3 linked regions of the Arabidopsis thaliana genome follow. The protein of the gene in region 1 interacts with the protein of each later gene in a pairwise test. Each region holds a gene or a part of one and is shown in the gene's direction. Other genes may lie near its edges.

Evidence for each region.
Region 2: the proteins of AT1G64625 (region 1) and KDR interact in a two-hybrid assay, tested with the Arabidopsis thaliana proteins (one large-scale study listed by BioGRID).
Region 3: the proteins of AT1G64625 (region 1) and AT2G41130 interact in a two-hybrid assay, tested with the Arabidopsis thaliana proteins (one large-scale study listed by BioGRID).

Annotation. Positions count from the first base shown.
Region 1 is NC_003070.9:24,014,387-24,020,229, forward strand, and holds AT1G64625 (Serine/threonine-protein kinase WNK (With No Lysine)-like protein), read left to right. Parts: upstream 1-2,269; 5' UTR 2,270-2,491; coding exon 2,492-2,586; intron 2,587-2,772; coding exon 2,773-2,862; intron 2,863-2,955; coding exon 2,956-3,019; intron 3,020-3,159; coding exon 3,160-3,201; intron 3,202-3,260; coding exon 3,261-3,350; intron 3,351-3,426; coding exon 3,427-4,203; intron 4,204-4,296; coding exon 4,297-4,398; coding exon of another isoform or gene 4,399-4,443; exon of another isoform or gene 4,444-4,471; coding exon 4,472-4,795; 3' UTR 4,796-4,885; downstream 4,886-5,843. Other genes in the region: WNK10 (with no lysine (K) kinase 10), read left to right, coding at 5,534-5,584, 5,732-5,769. UniProt on the Arabidopsis thaliana protein: Transcription factor that may regulate root development.
Region 2 is NC_003070.9:9,348,366-9,354,208, forward strand, and holds KDR (basic helix-loop-helix (bHLH) DNA-binding superfamily protein), read left to right. Parts: upstream 1-2,794; 5' UTR 2,795-3,205; coding exon 3,206-3,334; intron 3,335-3,953; coding exon 3,954-4,109; 3' UTR 4,110-4,468; downstream 4,469-5,843. UniProt on the Arabidopsis thaliana protein: Atypical and probable non DNA-binding bHLH transcription factor that regulates light-mediated responses in day light conditions by binding and inhibiting the activity of the bHLH transcription factor HFR1, a critical regulator of light signaling and shade avoidance.
Region 3 is NC_003071.7:17,141,243-17,147,085, forward strand, and holds AT2G41130 (basic helix-loop-helix (bHLH) DNA-binding superfamily protein), read left to right. Parts: upstream 1-1,914; 5' UTR 1,915-2,117; coding exon 2,118-2,411; intron 2,412-2,976; coding exon 2,977-3,444; 3' UTR 3,445-4,041; downstream 4,042-5,843. Other genes in the region: AT2G41120 (DUF309 domain protein), read right to left, coding at 212-459, 554-701, 788-1,177.

The DNA of each region.
Region 1 (5,843 bases):
TGCAAAAGATTTTAAAAATTTTGTGTGCTTTCAAAGATGAAGTTTTTAGCGGTTAACCATGACATATAAATTCGTAATATTTTGTAGTTGTTTTTAAAAATATGATTGGATTATATAATAAGTTTTACCTTGTTTTCCACAACTCATTGAATAAAGAATTTGTCACATAAACAATACATATTTGCAACTGTCATAGTAAAAATATATTATCAAATCTAACAAAAATTATGTATATTATGAATAAAATACTCTAAATTTAAAGAAAAGTATGAATCCAACACTATCTCTATCTTAGTACATATATATGTGGACTAATGGTAGTTAGTTAGAGTTACTCTTAAGTTTTAAGCGATAAAGGAATTTTGTTTTGTTTTTGACAGAAAAATATGTTCTCTAGTCACATATTTTAACGAAAAGTTTTAAAATAGCTTATCTAACAAAAAGCAAGTGTACAACATAAAATCCAACTTTTGGATTTATTTCACCACTTTCGGACACAATTGTAATAAGAACGGAAAGTTTCGAAAAGGGACAATAAATCAACTAAAGACGAAAAAGGATTAAGGTGAAAATCTTGATGCCGTTGACTTTTGTTCTCAACGGCCATGATTGAGCGTGTGATGAGTATAAGAGACCAAATTATGGCTATTTCTAATAACCCCAAAAAATAAATTGATTGATGAGTTTTTCTTCATTTGATATGTAATTATAATCACTTATTCCATTTCAAGATTTGTGGATATCTATTGATATTCTCTACCACTATCAAGAAGCTAAAAGTGTATTAAGTGCATGTACATTAGCTTAGGCCGAGAAGTTTTTTTTTTTTTTTTTTAAAGGTGATGTATTTGTGGCACTTAGGCTTAGGCATGTAATGTGTGGTGTGAGATGTTGCGCGACTTGCGAGTAACAAAAATGGGTCTCAAATATTGAGGCATGTATTTCTAACGTTTGCTATATATGCCTTTGATGTTCTCTAAATTCTATTTTATATCGTATTTCCATAGTAATATTCAGTAAAATCATGAAATTCGAAGGTTGATATCAGAGTTTATATAGTATAAAGTTTTAAGATATAAATAATCCATTGAAAACTCAAAACATAGGTACAAAATAGCACCATGTACAAATAAATAGCTAAAATAAAGTAATAAAGTAACAAATTAAAACACGTTTAATACTATTCATGAACTAATGTTCAAGTCTATTTAACATTCACATTTTTCCTTGCTTGTGATCTTCTATATAAACTTAAAATTAAACATGCATGGTTTCCTGATAATAATAAGATGTTTAGTTATATTAAAGAAAAAAGATAGTAGCTCTCAAGACTTAAGGCGGAAGCATAACCTTATTTTTTTTAGGTTGGTACCACAAGAGACCACAACTAAACATTTGGATGAATATAGGTATAACAAATCTCTTATGATATGTATATATCTGGCTTATATATGAATGCATACTCTACGAATGTATGTGACTGCTGACGACATTGGTGTTAGACTGTTGATATAATTATATGAGGCAGTGGATCGAGATTTGAGAACTACTTAAGTCAAGATTATCATACCGAGAATTCAAGATTTAGGTGACACATATTTTGGGAACCTCATTGGCCCATACACTAAAGAGGCGGTCATTCTTTCTTTATAACTCTAAACCATATTTTCCAACCAAAAACGGTCGATGTTAAGCTTTAATATGATGTTCAAGATATAGGATACGAGGGAGAAGATGATCGCTAGAAACTCCACAGCACCATTTATCTTCCTCTGTTGTGGGGATCACATTCTCCTCATTTTTATTTTTCCATTGCACCAGTTTCCACTATAGAAATTTTCATCAAATGTTAGTTAATTAATCATATCTAAATATATTGAATACTATTAAAGTATATCATAAATTCGTATCGAGTATTTAATGAATCGATGATAAAAAGTAAAATCAAAATAAAATCTCCCTTTATGGAAATTATACCCTCGAAGATCCTCTCCCGTCCTAAATTTTTCAAAAGACAACAAATAAATATATAGTAATCAAAGCAAACTTTTTCACTAAACCGGCAATAGCCGGTGTAATTCACGTCACTTCCGGGACAAAAGCGTGACTGGACACCGGCAGACAAATCACATCAAATAAATAATAGTAATATATTTAATTCCTCAGACAAAAAGGCTCTTCCACTTCTTATCGAATTACAAACATTTCATGTTATTGTTTGGTTATATATATAGAGAGACAAAGCTCTTAACTCCTTTTTAATTGCTTGAACAAAAAGCAAAACTCAAAGGAATTTTCTCTGTATTTTTTTCTATCTGCAGAAAATTAAAGAAAAAAAGAGAAAACTCAAAAACCCACATTTTTCCTCTGTTTCCAGCTTTTCTTTATCTTTGGAGTTTGGTTTCTGGAGAAGACAAAAGTTGTTGTCCTTTTTAAGAGTTCGAGATCCTGCAGAAATTAAAAGGGCTCTTCCCGGCTTGGATTCCTAAATATGGGTTCAGAGTATAAGCATATATTGAAGAGTCTCTGTTTAAGCCATGGATGGTCTTATGCTGTGTTTTGGCGTTATGATCCCATCAATTCCATGTAATTTCTCTCTTTTTTCTTTCGAATGTTATATGCATGTTCCTGTCTTGGATAATATTTGCATAAAACTAGTTTTGTTTTCCGTTGATTTAGGCAAAAGACTGAATTGCATATCCTCTGGTTTTATATGTGGCTTCCCTACTTTGGTGTCCATAAATGTAATTTAGTTTTGTTGAATTCCATCAGGATATTGAGATTTGAAGAAGCATACAATGATGAACAATCAGTCGCACTAGTTGATGATATGGTTCTCCAGGCTCCTATCTTAGGCCAAGGGTATGCTTTTACACTTCACTCAAATCTTTTATATATCTGTCTCTGTGTTTGTGTTTATATATCTTCAATATACTTTTCTTTTGATGAAATTAGAATTGTGGGAGAAGTAGCTTCATCCGGAAACCATCAATGGCTGTTCTCAGACACATTGTTTCAGGTTTGTTCACTTCTTTTTCTTGGTGTTTGATTTTTCTCATCTGTGAGCTATAATGTATGTCGAAATATAGTGACTGCATAGAACATTTCATGATGAAGAAGAAAAAAGATTTGATATTCGTGCGTTTGATTGTTTTGCAGTGGGAACATGAGTTTCAGAATCAGTTTCTCTGTGGCTTTAAGGTAATTTATATTTTGTCTTCTCTCCAAGTTTAAGGATTCATATATCCATTTTGAATCAGATTCTTATACGGCAGTTTACTTATACACAGACTATCGCAATCATTCCACTAGGATCCAGCGGCGTTGTTCAGCTAGGATCTACTCAAAAGGTTTGCATATATAATTATATAACAATGTTTTCTTGTTGTGGAAGTCATGGTCTAATTACTTACTATCAATCTTTAGATTCTTGAGAGCACAGAGATATTGGAACAAACAACAAGAGCTCTCCAGGAGACGTGTTTAAAGCCACATGATTCCGGTGATCTCGATACTCTGTTTGAGTCACTGGGAGATTGTGAGATTTTCCCAGCTGAATCTTTTCAAGGATTTAGCTTTGATGACATCTTCGCTGAGGACAATCCTCCTTCTTTGCTCAGCCCTGAGATGATCTCCTCTGAAGCAGCTTCTTCCAACCAAGATCTGACCAATGGAGATGATTATGGGTTCGACATTCTCCAGTCTTACTCTCTGGACGATCTATACCAGCTGCTCGCTGATCCACCAGAACAGAACTGCTCTTCCATGGTGATCCAAGGAGTTGACAAGGATCTTTTCGACATTTTGGGGATGAATTCTCAAACGCCTACAATGGCTTTGCCACCTAAAGGACTCTTCTCAGAGCTCATAAGCAGCAGTCTTAGCAACAACACTTGTAGTAGTTCTCTCACGAACGTGCAAGAGTACTCTGGTGTGAACCAGAGCAAAAGACGGAAGCTTGATACATCATCGGCGCATAGCTCAAGCTTGTTCCCTCAGGAGGAGACAGTAACAAGTCGGAGTTTGTGGATTGATGATGATGAGAGATCAAGTATTGGAGGGAACTGGAAGAAGCCTCACGAAGAAGGTGTGAAGAAGAAAAGAGCAAAGGCAGGAGAAAGCAGGAGGCCGAGGCCTAAGGACCGTCAGATGATACAAGACCGTATCAAGGAGTTGCGAGGGATGATTCCAAATGGAGCTAAGGTAAATTGAATAATAATATAGTTTAGTTTAGGGCATCCAAATTATAGATTAACAAATGCATTCTCTAATAAGTTTCGATATATATTTAAACAGTGTAGCATAGATACGTTGCTGGATCTGACCATAAAACACATGGTGTTCATGCAAAGCCTCGCCAAGTATGCAGAGAGACTCAAACAACCATACGAGTCTAAGGTAATGAATCAAATATATCCATTCAGTAAGTACACAAGTGTTTGAGTATTGATGAGTGAATGATGTTTATCAGCTGGTGAAGGAGAAAGAGAGAACATGGGCGTTGGAAGTGGGGGAAGAAGGAGTGGTATGTCCGATAATGGTGGAGGAATTGAACAGGGAAGGAGAAATGCAGATAGAGATGGTGTGTGAGGAAAGAGAGGAGTTCTTGGAGATAGGACAAGTGGTGAGAGGATTGGGATTGAAGATATTGAAAGGAGTGATGGAAACAAGAAAAGGACAAATATGGGCACACTTCATCGTACAGGCAAAGCCACAAGTCACAAGGATTCAAGTCTTGTACTCACTTGTTCAGCTCTTTCAACACCACACCAAACATGATGATTTATTATCATAGTATAATACCTACCACTTTGATTTTCTTTCTTTTTGTTACAACAACAACACAAGAATCTGTTGATAAATAGTAGTAACATTACATCAAAGAAGATTGTATGGGCTCGTGGAAAAAAAAGAAGAAGATTGTATGGGCTTTAAAACATTGACTAAGACAAAGAAAGAAGGCCCATTTAAAGAAAAAAGGAACGTAACGACACCGTTTTGGGTGGATAACAGTTAACTGACTGAATCAGAAAATAGATGCCCGTTATCCTTGACGAGGATAAAGGGGAGACACTGTATATAAATAAAAAGTTGAACAAAGATCAAATCCTCAATCTGTTTTTAGGGTTTCGAGAGAGAGAGAGAAATTGATTTTTGTTGATATTTGTGAAATTTGGTGGCGAAATTGAAGCTTCTTCATCGGTCGTTGTCTAAAAGCAATGGTGGATGGTTGATGAATGGAGGAGATGCTCTTCTTCTTCTATCCAATAACAATAATAAGAGACACGACGCTGACACAAACGCAGAACCATCTCACCACCGTCATCATCTCGGAGATGGCCGCCACACTCCTCTGTTCCCGATCTCGATTCCGATCGGCGATCGACTCCTATTGCTTCGCCCGTGAGGCCTTCTCCGATCCAATCTCCTTCCATCTCCTCACCCTTCTGTAACCACCAATCATCATCCCTCCTTTCTTCTTCTTCTTCTTCTGCTTCCGGATTATTAGTATCATTAGGTTAGAATATCTGCCATGGAAGAGGCTGACTTCGTCCAGAAAGATCCCACTGGTCGCTACATTAGGGTACGACGCTATCTGCAATTTCCATGGTTTCTAGGATAACAATGTCAATCTATAGACTTTTCCTCGATAAGATTTATATAAGTAATAGCTACGTTAATGGCTTGGAAGGTCACTTTAGGATAACAATCTTCTTCTTTCTTTCTTCAGTATAATGACGTTCTCGGGAGAGGAGCCTTCAAAACTGTGTATGTTTGTTTGTTTATACGTCCTTTACTTTTTCATTGCAGTGCCTATGTTACTCTGATTGCTTTTTAAGTAT
Region 2 (5,843 bases), about 15 Mb from region 1:
TCAATGTATAAGGACTAAAATAATGAGTTATGATTATTATTATTTTTGTAAATGGAAGAAAAAACAGAGATTGCGAGACAACACATGCCATGTTTTAAAATCTCGGGGATGGGTTGGTTTTATCGTTATATGTCTTTGACCGTCAACAATGTTTGGCTCCTCGATCGTTTTTTAACCTTTTAACCCATACTATGAAATGTCCGCAACTACTATTTACTTGTGACATGATAAGCATCTTCACATTAAAATCTTGATATTGGTCGGTCTAGGGTTTGCCACAAACAGATAACAATTTGTTGAAAAAGTTACACTTGTTTTAAGAAATAATAATGTATAAGAAAACAAGTGTACTCTCTATAGCTGAGTACTAGCTAGCTAGTAGTGTAGTCAGTTAATTTAACTTTATCAATTGATATTTATTCGAGGCATATTCTTTTTCGAATTTCTATAACCAAAATTTGTGGGGGGTTTTTCATGAAGAATTTGTGGGTTTTAATGATGTAATTTAAGTCAGAGAAAACGGCATAAAACTAAGAGATGGGGTTCCTAATTAATAGGAAAGCTACTGATCTCGGACTGCGTGTAAGGGTAGGTCTCATTAATAGTAGCATATGCATGTTTTGTATTCACTCCGCCGGAATTAACCGTATCATTCTCTCAGCTTCCTATTCAAATTAAACCTTCCATGTCTCCTTTTGAATTCTGACTTGGACGAATCAAATAGTCTAATTGGATATCGATATCCAATTCCTATAGTGTTTTTGTTGTTTATTGCTTTAAATGTGTGTTCATCAATGTATTTTCATGTTACATGTGTCTATATATCAATGTATATCCGAATATGAACTATAGTAGTCGCTTCCAATTGGATGATTCTTTTCATAGTAATCCAAGAGGTTGATTTAGTTTTTTCGGTACAAGTAATCTGTCCTGTAGCTTTGGGGTTATTTTCAAACAAAACATGTATACATATATACTAATTTCAAACTTTAAAGATACCAAACCATGCAGAATCAAATTATGTCAATACAAGTCTTATAAAAGACAAATACATATTTTCATTATTTAGCTTAAAAAATTAAGAAAATTTTGTAATTTTATTTTGTTTTTAATGAATAAATAGATCAATCTTGTCCTTTTTATTTATGGTCCTCTGTAAACAATGACAGCAACGATGGCAAATAAATAAAGTATTCAGAAGTTAAAATACACACATATATATAGATCAAGACCTATATCTTGTTGACAACGAAAACAAAGAAAGAAGATTAATAGATCAAATCCGAGTTAAAGCAAACATCTACCACATAATAAATGCAATGCAAAATCAACGAACTGAATCCAATCGACAATCAAATGCCTATCTCTGCATCTACCACATGCTACGTACTCAAAATCAGATTTTTATGGAAGGTATTAAAAAAATCAGAGTTGTCAACTGTAATTACATCCAAAACATGATCCGTAATTTGGCTTCAACATTTTTTGGTGTTTTCTTGTACCATATGTCCTACACTCTTTTCATGATATAGACCACCACACTAAAGAAAAATAATAATTAATCTTATAAATGACAGTGATTTTTTTTCTTTTCACGATCATGTATAGGATAACAATCATATTATTTTCAAAAATATTTGGATGTTACATTACATCAAAGGTCAAACATGGATGTGTGAAGAACAAACTTATACATGTTCCAAAACCATTGAATTTCCAAAAAAAATCAATGTAAAAGTTTGAAAGATACAAAAAAAATGGTAAAAAAGAGAGAAGTGATTAAAAAAAGGGACAATGAAGTAATACATATAACGTGGGGATGCAATGGTGGTACTGACAGAGAGAGAAGGCAAAGAGGGACAGTTTAGTTTGGCGATAAACACACATTTTGCCATTTTAAACCCCACTTGATCCCTCTTCTCCTTTCCATGGCCCTCCCCTCCTTTTCTACGTCCCTTTCCCAATTCTTATTTTAATTCTTTGTTTTTTTCTACTTGGATGCGTTGAGCCAAAAATGTTGCAATGAATTAATTCTACTTGGCCCGATTTTGGAAAGCTCTGTAGCTTTGTGGACTGACTTTGATTTGGTTTTGATTTCAGAGAGTGCGGATCAATCCATTGTTATACGTGTTTGGATTTTTTTTTGGGTTTAGCCAAAATCGAACCGAGTGACTTGACTTAAGCATAGTTGTATTTTTTATTATATATATTTTTTTTGGTCCCATCACTAGTCACTGAAAACCTCTACAATATCCCTTAAGATAGGTTCTAATCGTCGTATCATACGACTCGTATGAGACGATACAAACACTCTTTGGTAAAGTATCACTATTGGTTTAGCACTGGATCTTAGTTATTTGATACCCTTTCTATTTAGTTTCAAAATTTGAATTCTCCATGTCACATTCATTATACAAACGTTTTTTGTTGAACAAATTTTACATTCATTCATAAAAACAAAAGAATACATTATCACAAAACATATATAATAAGATAAATTATTAAATAGAATTTTTTTAAAATAGACATACAATAAGACTAGTCGTCTGATATAGACTCTGCACATTATACGGACTTACATTTGTAAACTCCATCAACTCTTATCCATCTATTGTTTAGTCATGTTCAATATTGAGAAAAATTAAAGGAAATTAACATGTAGCCTTTAAATTTTCAATAAAGGTCGTTAAGTTGAAGACTTGAAGTTGATACTACACCATGTGAATAGCTCGAAAGAAAGAAGGTTAAGTGGAACAGGAATAAGAGAAAGAGAGCAAGGAAAAAAACTTGACGTGGGTGAGTTTTACACATATAACAATCAAGAAGTTGTTCTCGTGGGAAAGTAAGTTTAGAAGCTTACCAAAAATAAACAGTATCTTTTTGTACTAAGCGACTATGAAAAAAACTGAGAACAAATAATAATAAATATTTGAAAGCTAAAGACACCCTTATTAAAGAAACATAACCCACACCCTCCCTCCATGCACTTGTCTCTTCTCCTTCTTATTCTTCTTCTTCTTCTTCTTGATCTTCTCTCTCTTCATAAATTTGCATTATAAAAACACATCCACTTTGCTCCTCCCTCTTCAACACCTTCTTCTCCACTCTCATTCTCTCTTTCTGACACATTAACTACTTATCCTTCTTGCATTCTTCTCTCTCTCTACACCCAAACAAACACACTTATAATATATCAAGAAAGAAGATGTCTAGCAGAAGATCATCACGTTCAAGACAGTCAGGAAGCTCAAGAATCTCTGACGATCAGATTTCCGATCTTGTTTCTAAGCTCCAACACCTCATCCCTGAACTTCGCCGCCGCCGTTCTGACAAGGTATACACTTCAAAATAACAAATTTTAATCTATCTTTCTTGCATATACATACTTATTTTGTATACTTGTATAACTTAGCCTGCACATGGACTTAGAAAGTTCAAATGAATAGGAACCATATAGTATATAATAACTAATTAATATGCATGGTGAAATCCAACGGCGTGTAGACATGTGGCCTACAATTAACTATACGTAGATAAAGTAACATTAATTCACAGCCTCATTTATGCATATATCTTGTTTGTTCTTTGAATGTTTTTTTGCAATTAAATTTTACAAGTTGGTGGTGTGGGACTCAGTTTGTTCCCTTCCTACTTCCACGTACCTTAACTACATGTCTCCCCATTACTCTTCTCTACCTATATACTCACCATAATTCTATATATAGCTGAGGAATATGATAAATAAATTGTGGCCGTTTATACCGTTGTGCACATTGAAGTGGCAATCATGAGAAAAAACTAAAGTTCTGTTAAAAGTTTGAAGATATATATGAAATTGTTACAAAGAAAGAAAAAAGGCAGTAGCACATGTTGTCACGTACTCTTTGTAAGGGATATAATGATCGTTTTTTGTACTTTAAAACTAATTGTAAAATGTTTAAACTATTGGACAGGTGTCAGCATCTAAGGTACTACAAGAGACTTGCAACTACATCAGGAACTTACACAGAGAGGTTGATGACCTCAGTGACCGTTTGTCGGAACTCTTGGCTTCGACGGACGACAACAGCGCCGAAGCAGCCATCATTAGGAGCTTGCTTAATTATTAAATCCGCATTACTTAATCTGAGAGCTATTAATCATCCGTTTCCGGCCACCAAATTTATCTTATTATGGGTATCGTCTGTTTACTTCTACATCATATATTATGAGATATAGCTAGGGTTTCGGGTCATTGTTAGGCCAACTCATATATTTATATTTAATATATGGTTATGTATGTATGTATGCATGTTAATTGTATCTGAGGGTCCAGACCTGGCGTATAGTAGCCTGTGTATCATGAGATCCTCTAATATTTATGATTAATGACACGGTCCGTTTCCTTTTTTACTATACTGATCTACTGTTATAAGTTTCGTTTATCATATCTTTTTCTATAATTAACAAGCTGAGGAGATTATCGGTGTATGCTCGAAATTTCTTAGTTGAAGAAATTAAGAACAATATATGTGTATGCCAAATAAATAAGTTATACTTGGAAGTATGTCAATACAATTTTATCAAAAAAAATAAAATGGTATGTATATACAATTTAAAAACGTGGAGAAGTTGTGTCTGAATTTAAATTGTTTAAAATATGATAGAAACAGACGAAGACCTCGATGTTTTCGAAGTCGTTTAGTTTGGATTATCTGTTTTTTAATGTTATCTGTAGTATATGGTATGGTCGTGCCATTTTATTTAAATCCTCTTGCATGTGATCATTAATGTGTTATCTTCGTCGTGTATATTATAACACGTATTGACTCGATAATTACGGTATTAGTGTGGTGTTATTAATGGAGTAGATAATTTATGATTACGTGTTAAAAGTAAAATGTATTGGGATATAAGGTTACATACCTTTTCTTTGAACAGAGAAATTCTTGCGCCTGAAAGTTAAATATAATCATGTACTGTATCAGTTCCCGTTTTTTTTCGGTCATTGATTTTTTTTTTCGGGCAACACATTAGTTGTTTTTATTTATGAGCACCAAAGACTAAGTAGAATTTTAAAAACATGATGAAATATTAATTATGACTTGAAGACATTTGAAAGTGTGATACATGTTTAGGAGCTGGTAACACGTTTTTAATGATAATCTCTCAATTTAGTATAGAATAAAATATACATATTTTGTATTATTCTGACAAATCAAATAGTTTTGAGTTATCACAAACTCTACAAGAAACCCATCTAAATTATAGTATAAGAAAATACTCCGGAACGCCAACCTTTACTTAATCAACCCTAAGTTGACGACCCAAAAAAAAAATTAACCTTTAAATCATTTGAATAATGGCCATAGGCCCAAATATGTTAACAAAAGAGCCTTGGCCCAGTTCCTGGCTAGACTTCCTTTCATTTTCTGTTATTTTTTTTTTGGTAAACCAACGGGAGGGACTGCCGTCTTTATTCAATAGAACCAAAAATAAAAAATTACATGGGCACATGTCTAGCCCCAGCAACACCTGCAGCATCCTCACGCATAATCGAATCGACAAACGGAAGACCTGAGTCAAAAGAAAGAAAGCCTAAAAGTAAACTAAAAGCATAGTTTGCTAACTCGTCAGCAAAACGGTTAGCTTCCCGATAAACATGCGAAACTCGGACTATCCAGTCCTTTGATGAGAAGCCATAGCACAAACGTACTAGGAATGACAACAGATGAGAGTCTTCTATCCCTGTCGTGAGAAAACCAGCCACCAATTTTGAATCTACCTCAAGCTCCAGCCGCGTTATACCCTTCTCCCAAGCTATAACCAACCCGTAGTACACACCCCAAAGCTCTGCTAACGGA
Region 3 (5,843 bases), on another chromosome or scaffold:
CTTATGTAATTTCATAAAGAATGTTCCTTCGCTTTGTTCTAAAATTTCATTCATGGCTGGTTTTTGCTGGTTAAAAAGACAGGAATGTTATGTGTTTTTACCTTTTGTCTAAATGACTCATTGTTCATGTTATTGACAGGTTCAGAACCTGATTCTTGAAATATAACAGTAATGAGATCTTCTTCTATTATCTTCGTATTGATCATTCTCTTTAGAATCTGTCGTCGTATGTAGAAGCAAGAAGATGCTTATCGGTTGCGGTAAGGGTAGGGAGCTTAACCCGAGTTGGCTCAGACGATGAATGTAAAGGAGAGAAGAGTATAGAAGTTGTCTCAGACATTCCATTGTTGAAGTCAAGCACAGTCTCTAAGCTGTAAATACTCTCTCCAGCTGCATAACCACCTAAGAGTTGATACGATCTGTCTGATTGATCCATCGTCAAACACATATCTTCTGAACCTATCATCAATCAATTCAGATTTCTTGAGTGTCACAATTAGGTTCAATTTGCTAAATGGTTTCCTCAATCAAAAATTCAAAATTCAAAACTTACAGGCAGCAAGTTCAAGCTGAGTTTGATAAACGAATTCAAGAACTGCGGAGACATCTCGCTCGAATTCATGAAACGGTCCGTCTTCGAAATTCATCTTCCTTAGCTTACATACTCCTTCTCCTAACTCCATCATCGCTCCTTTATGGTTCTTCAAATCCCAAAACACTCACTAAAATTACCTCAAACGTGAACGAAAACGAGCAATAGATGGAGTTAAAAGGAGAGTAGATTTACGTTGTTGAATAGATGGTGAAATCCAACAGCACATTGAAGAATTCCATGGATTAAGGTACGAGTTGGTTCCTCTGCTTGAATCCAAAGAGCTTCAAGCGCGTCATGACTTTTGTAATAATCCCTCTTGTTGAAGAGAGTCACTGCTTCCTCAAAGCTCCAATATTCTTCCTTATCCTCGTCACTATCCTCTTCGTCTTCTCCGGCGTGGTCGTTGTATCTGACGATTGATCTTCGACTGAAACGGACGCGTATGGAGCTAAATTTTGTGGAGGCTCGAATCGTTGAAGCAGTAACAGAGATTGGAGAAGAAGGGATTAAGGAGCTGAAGAAAGAAGATGGAGGAAGCGTGAAAGATGAAGGAACCTGGAAATGTTTCGAAGAAACTGCCATTATCAAAGTCAAAGGTCGAGCTCTGTCTCTACTGCATGGTTCTGGCTTGCGCCAGTTTTGTGGTCACCGTTTTACCAAAACTTTGTAATTGGGCCACTATTTGGGTCCTTATTTTTTATATAATTTAGGCCCATATTTTATGGCGAAGCCTTCCTCATATCATATGGTTGTCTCATTCGTAAATTATTTTTCTGCAGTAGCTTTCTCTTATGATTATCAAATTTGTTGATTATTTAGGGCTTTTATGTTGTCAAAAAAAAAAAATTAGGGCTTTTGAATACTCAAGTTTTTCCAGACATTAAGTTAAAACAAATACTGTATATTATTTAATTTTTGTTAAATAACAAATTTATGTTATCGCATTGCACTGTGTGAGATTTATCCGGACAAAACACAATGATAGAAGCAGCATAAATCATATCAGGATATGCCTTTTATTGTTTATCTTTAATACCTTAGAAATGGTATCTTATCATAATAACTTAAAGGATCATTATTATGGTAGTGGTAAAACATCATTATTATTCATAAGTAAAGATTTAAAGAATGTTCAATTTTTTGAGATTTGTTTTTGAATTTTTGAATTTTGGAAATGCAGTAATATACTATATAGTCCCAAAAGTCCGTATGTATCTTCAGTTCAATTGATGGATCATATAGAACTATTTAGAATGATGATGGTGGCAAGACAATGACCTAATTAAGGACCCTTCCTAAAAATTTCAAACTCTATAGCAACTTTTTCCCCACCAATATATATATAAATACAAAAATCAAGTATTTAACATCTAAAATAAAAAAAATAAAAAAAATAATCTACACTCTCTACCCTCTCATTTCACGTATATATAATCCATCTTTTAGGACAGAACCCACCGAAAGCTCCACAAACCCCATTAATTAACAAAAAACCAAAAGAAGGCGGCGCAAACAAAAGATAATGCAACCAGAGACCTCAGATCAGATGTTGTACTCGTTTCTTGCCGGAAACGAAGTCGGCGGTGGAGGGTACTGCGTCTCCGGCGACTACATGACGACTATGCAGAGCTTATGTGGGTCTTCGTCGTCGACGTCATCGTATTACCCACTGGCGATCTCCGGCATCGGAGAAACGATGGCTCAAGACAGAGCTTTAGCTGCTTTGAGGAACCACAAAGAAGCTGAGAGAAGAAGGAGAGAGAGGATCAATTCTCATCTCAACAAGCTTCGTAACGTACTCTCTTGTAATTCTAAGGTAATATAAACTTTTGATACTTTTTCATTTGGCGTATGTATCTCTCCTCGTACATATGATGTTTATACATCTGTACGTATATATTTCTTTGAAATTTTAAGAAAAGATTTTTGAAATGGGTATATAATTAGGGTTTTGCATCTTCTCTAACCCAGAGTTTACATCTTTAAAATTTTCTCATGTTTCATTCGATTTGGTGTTAGCTCATGAATACTGTACTTTTTCATGATAACATTTTATAATCATTTGGTTTCAATTGAGTCTTTTTTGTCTTACTATTCTTACTTATTAACAAGCACATATTTATCAAAGATGATCCCTAATTTTCTACATTTATAATTCTAAAGATTGATATATATTTTGATTTGAATATTCAAAACTGGCGAGTAGTGATCAGATGAGAAAAACGAAAAGCTTCATGGCCTTTTTGTGAAGCTCGTTGGGATAGTATATCACTTTTTGGGAAAGTTCTCAAGCTTTTTCAGTTGATTTGATTTGATACAAACATCAAATTTCAACTTCTTGATCCAAACTTTTCATTGTAATTTCATGTTTCTATTTTCAGACCGATAAAGCCACACTGCTCGCCAAAGTAGTTCAACGAGTCAGAGAACTTAAACAGCAAACCCTAGAGACCTCCGACTCCGACCAAACATTATTACCATCAGAGACCGACGAAATTAGTGTTCTACACTTTGGAGACTATTCAAACGACGGTCATATAATCTTCAAAGCCTCTCTATGTTGTGAAGATAGATCAGATCTCTTGCCGGACCTTATGGAGATTCTCAAGTCTCTTAACATGAAGACTCTCCGAGCTGAGATGGTAACCATTGGTGGTCGGACAAGAAGTGTTCTTGTCGTAGCTGCTGACAAAGAGATGCACGGCGTCGAGTCTGTGCATTTTTTGCAAAATGCTCTCAAGTCGCTGCTTGAGCGGTCAAGCAAGTCGTTGATGGAACGTAGTTCTGGTGGTGGAGGAGGAGAACGGTCAAAGCGGCGTCGTGCGCTGGATCACATCATAATGGTGTGAAATGATGAGAATTGAGCACACTAAAAAGTCTATAATTGATTAATATATATAGGGTATGATCATAATTAACTTGGTTATAATTACCAAAACCTTTTTTATTCCTCTTTAATAATATATATGTTATATGGTTTTAGTTACTAAGTCTTGGGAGTGTAAGCAAATGTTGTAAGTAGGTTTGGTGTGTTCTTTTTCTTTTCTTTTTTTTTTCTTTTTCAAGAAAAAGAAAAAGATCTATATTATATATAAAGAATATTTGTCATGTTATTTTCCTCTATTTATATATATCTTTTTGGTTGTTGGTGTGATGACTAGGGTTTTGAGATTGTGGGAATATTTGTCGACGTAGAAGAATCTAAGTAACAGATGTGATTGGTGAAGTCCAAAAGAAACTAGGGTACTTCGATTTACATATACACACTATACATGTGAATATATATGTATATATAGTGAAGAGAAGGTCTATGTTTGTATGCTGTGAGTTTCAAAGCGACCCTTATGTCACCTTTGTCCCCAAATGAATCCAAACTCTCCTATCTCTTTCTTTGTTCATGTCTTTCTAAATGTGTACATTTGACCACATTTTTCAGACCAAAGAATATAAGCAGTGCCTGGTTTTCTTTCTTTCTTATATATTCGTATATATCCATGTGATTATGACGAACTGTTTTACTTTTAGTTGAGATTAATTAAGTGTTAGCGAAATGTCTAGTCTACTGTTTTTGTTGATCATATGGAAAAGACGTGCATTTATGCATGACACAAAAATGCTTAAACGTATATTCGAAAAAGTAACACTTTATATACGTTGTATATTTAGGACGCCAAATTTCATATTATGTACGGCTACATGTACAATGAAAGTGTGATGAGACTTGAGAGGATTAACCAAAAATACTGAAAACTTACTTTAATTTACTTTCTTTTAGTTTATTTTACTAATCGAATTTTGGCTCTAAAGTTTCGTGTGAATAAGAAGAATATGTTAGAATGTATAATGATGTGTATCCGTATCTAGTGAGGTTTGTACATATCTGTTATATTTATAATGAAAGTGTTTTGAAATATTGTAGAGATACTATGTTTGCTATGTATCTCTATTCTGGTTTCTTCAATAGGTATCCGTTTTGTTTATAGAAAATGGCTCACCAACTTGCCTCTATGGGAGGCTGGGGATATATGAACCAAATGACTCAATAATATAGCCAATTAGACCATTAGTAAATTGGAATATATATGAAGAAGAAGGTGAATGTGGGATTAAAGGAAGAGGAAGCGTGAGAAAAGGAGACTGACAAAAGGAAATAAAATTGATGGGCCATTGGCTCTATGAGACAAAAAGGACCGACTCTTCTCATCACTCTCCCTTTTCCCTTTCTCTCTTTTTTAATAATTGTTTTCTATAAACTATAATTTTATGGCGAATTTAATAAAATAATATTGAAGAAAACTAAGAGAAGAAGAAGAAGGAAAAAAAAAGGTGGAGAAAGTTTGTCCATGGAGCGTGATGGTTTTGGGGCAGCTGGTGTCCCCTCTATACTCAACCTCTCGACCAAAAAGTATATCTTATAGAAATATTTTTAGCTTTTGCACTATATATTATTGTTAAAGTTATATTTGTATTCAACTCAAAAGAAACTATAGAAAAACTTCTAATTTTTTTAAAAATTCCTTCTGAAGTTTATGGGTAGTGTGGCAAAAGCAATCATTAACCTCACACGTTAGTGTTCCATCGTGTGAACATGTGAGTGCCCTTTCTTATCTCACCACACAATTTTGACCATCCTATTTCCTTTTTGAATATCACTATTTTTTCTTTGTGTTTACTTTGTTTTATCTACATTTCACAAACAAGCAAATAGAAGTTATCATATTATATGTCAAATATGTGTTTGTTTTCATGTGTTCTTATTGTCTTTCTTGGTCAAGTGTTCTTGTTTACCTACACAGACAAATGTGGGAACCTTTTCACTTACTTCGGGGTTTTACCGGAAAGTTAGAAAACCTTACTAAATTATTGCTTTGCTATTAACAAAGATATCTTACTCATTCTTTAAACCAGTGTTTCATTTTGTCCATTGTCAGAACTTATATTCATTTTAACGTTTTAATTGATCTATCGTAGTAGTGAACCATCTCTAAAATAAAAATTCAATACTAATTGAAAATCTAAAACCAATAGATATTAAGAAATCATTTGTTAAATTAACTTACATCTATACATCTATATATGCGACTACTGTCTAGTTTATCTGGAATCCACAATATGTTTTTTGTTTCTCCAAAAACTTTTTGATAACTTTAAAAATCTAGTAAATGCAACATTTTCTAACCTTTTAAAGTATATTTGAGGGTTAAACCGAGAATTAAGACTTACAAGTCTTGGGATAATCACTCTATAA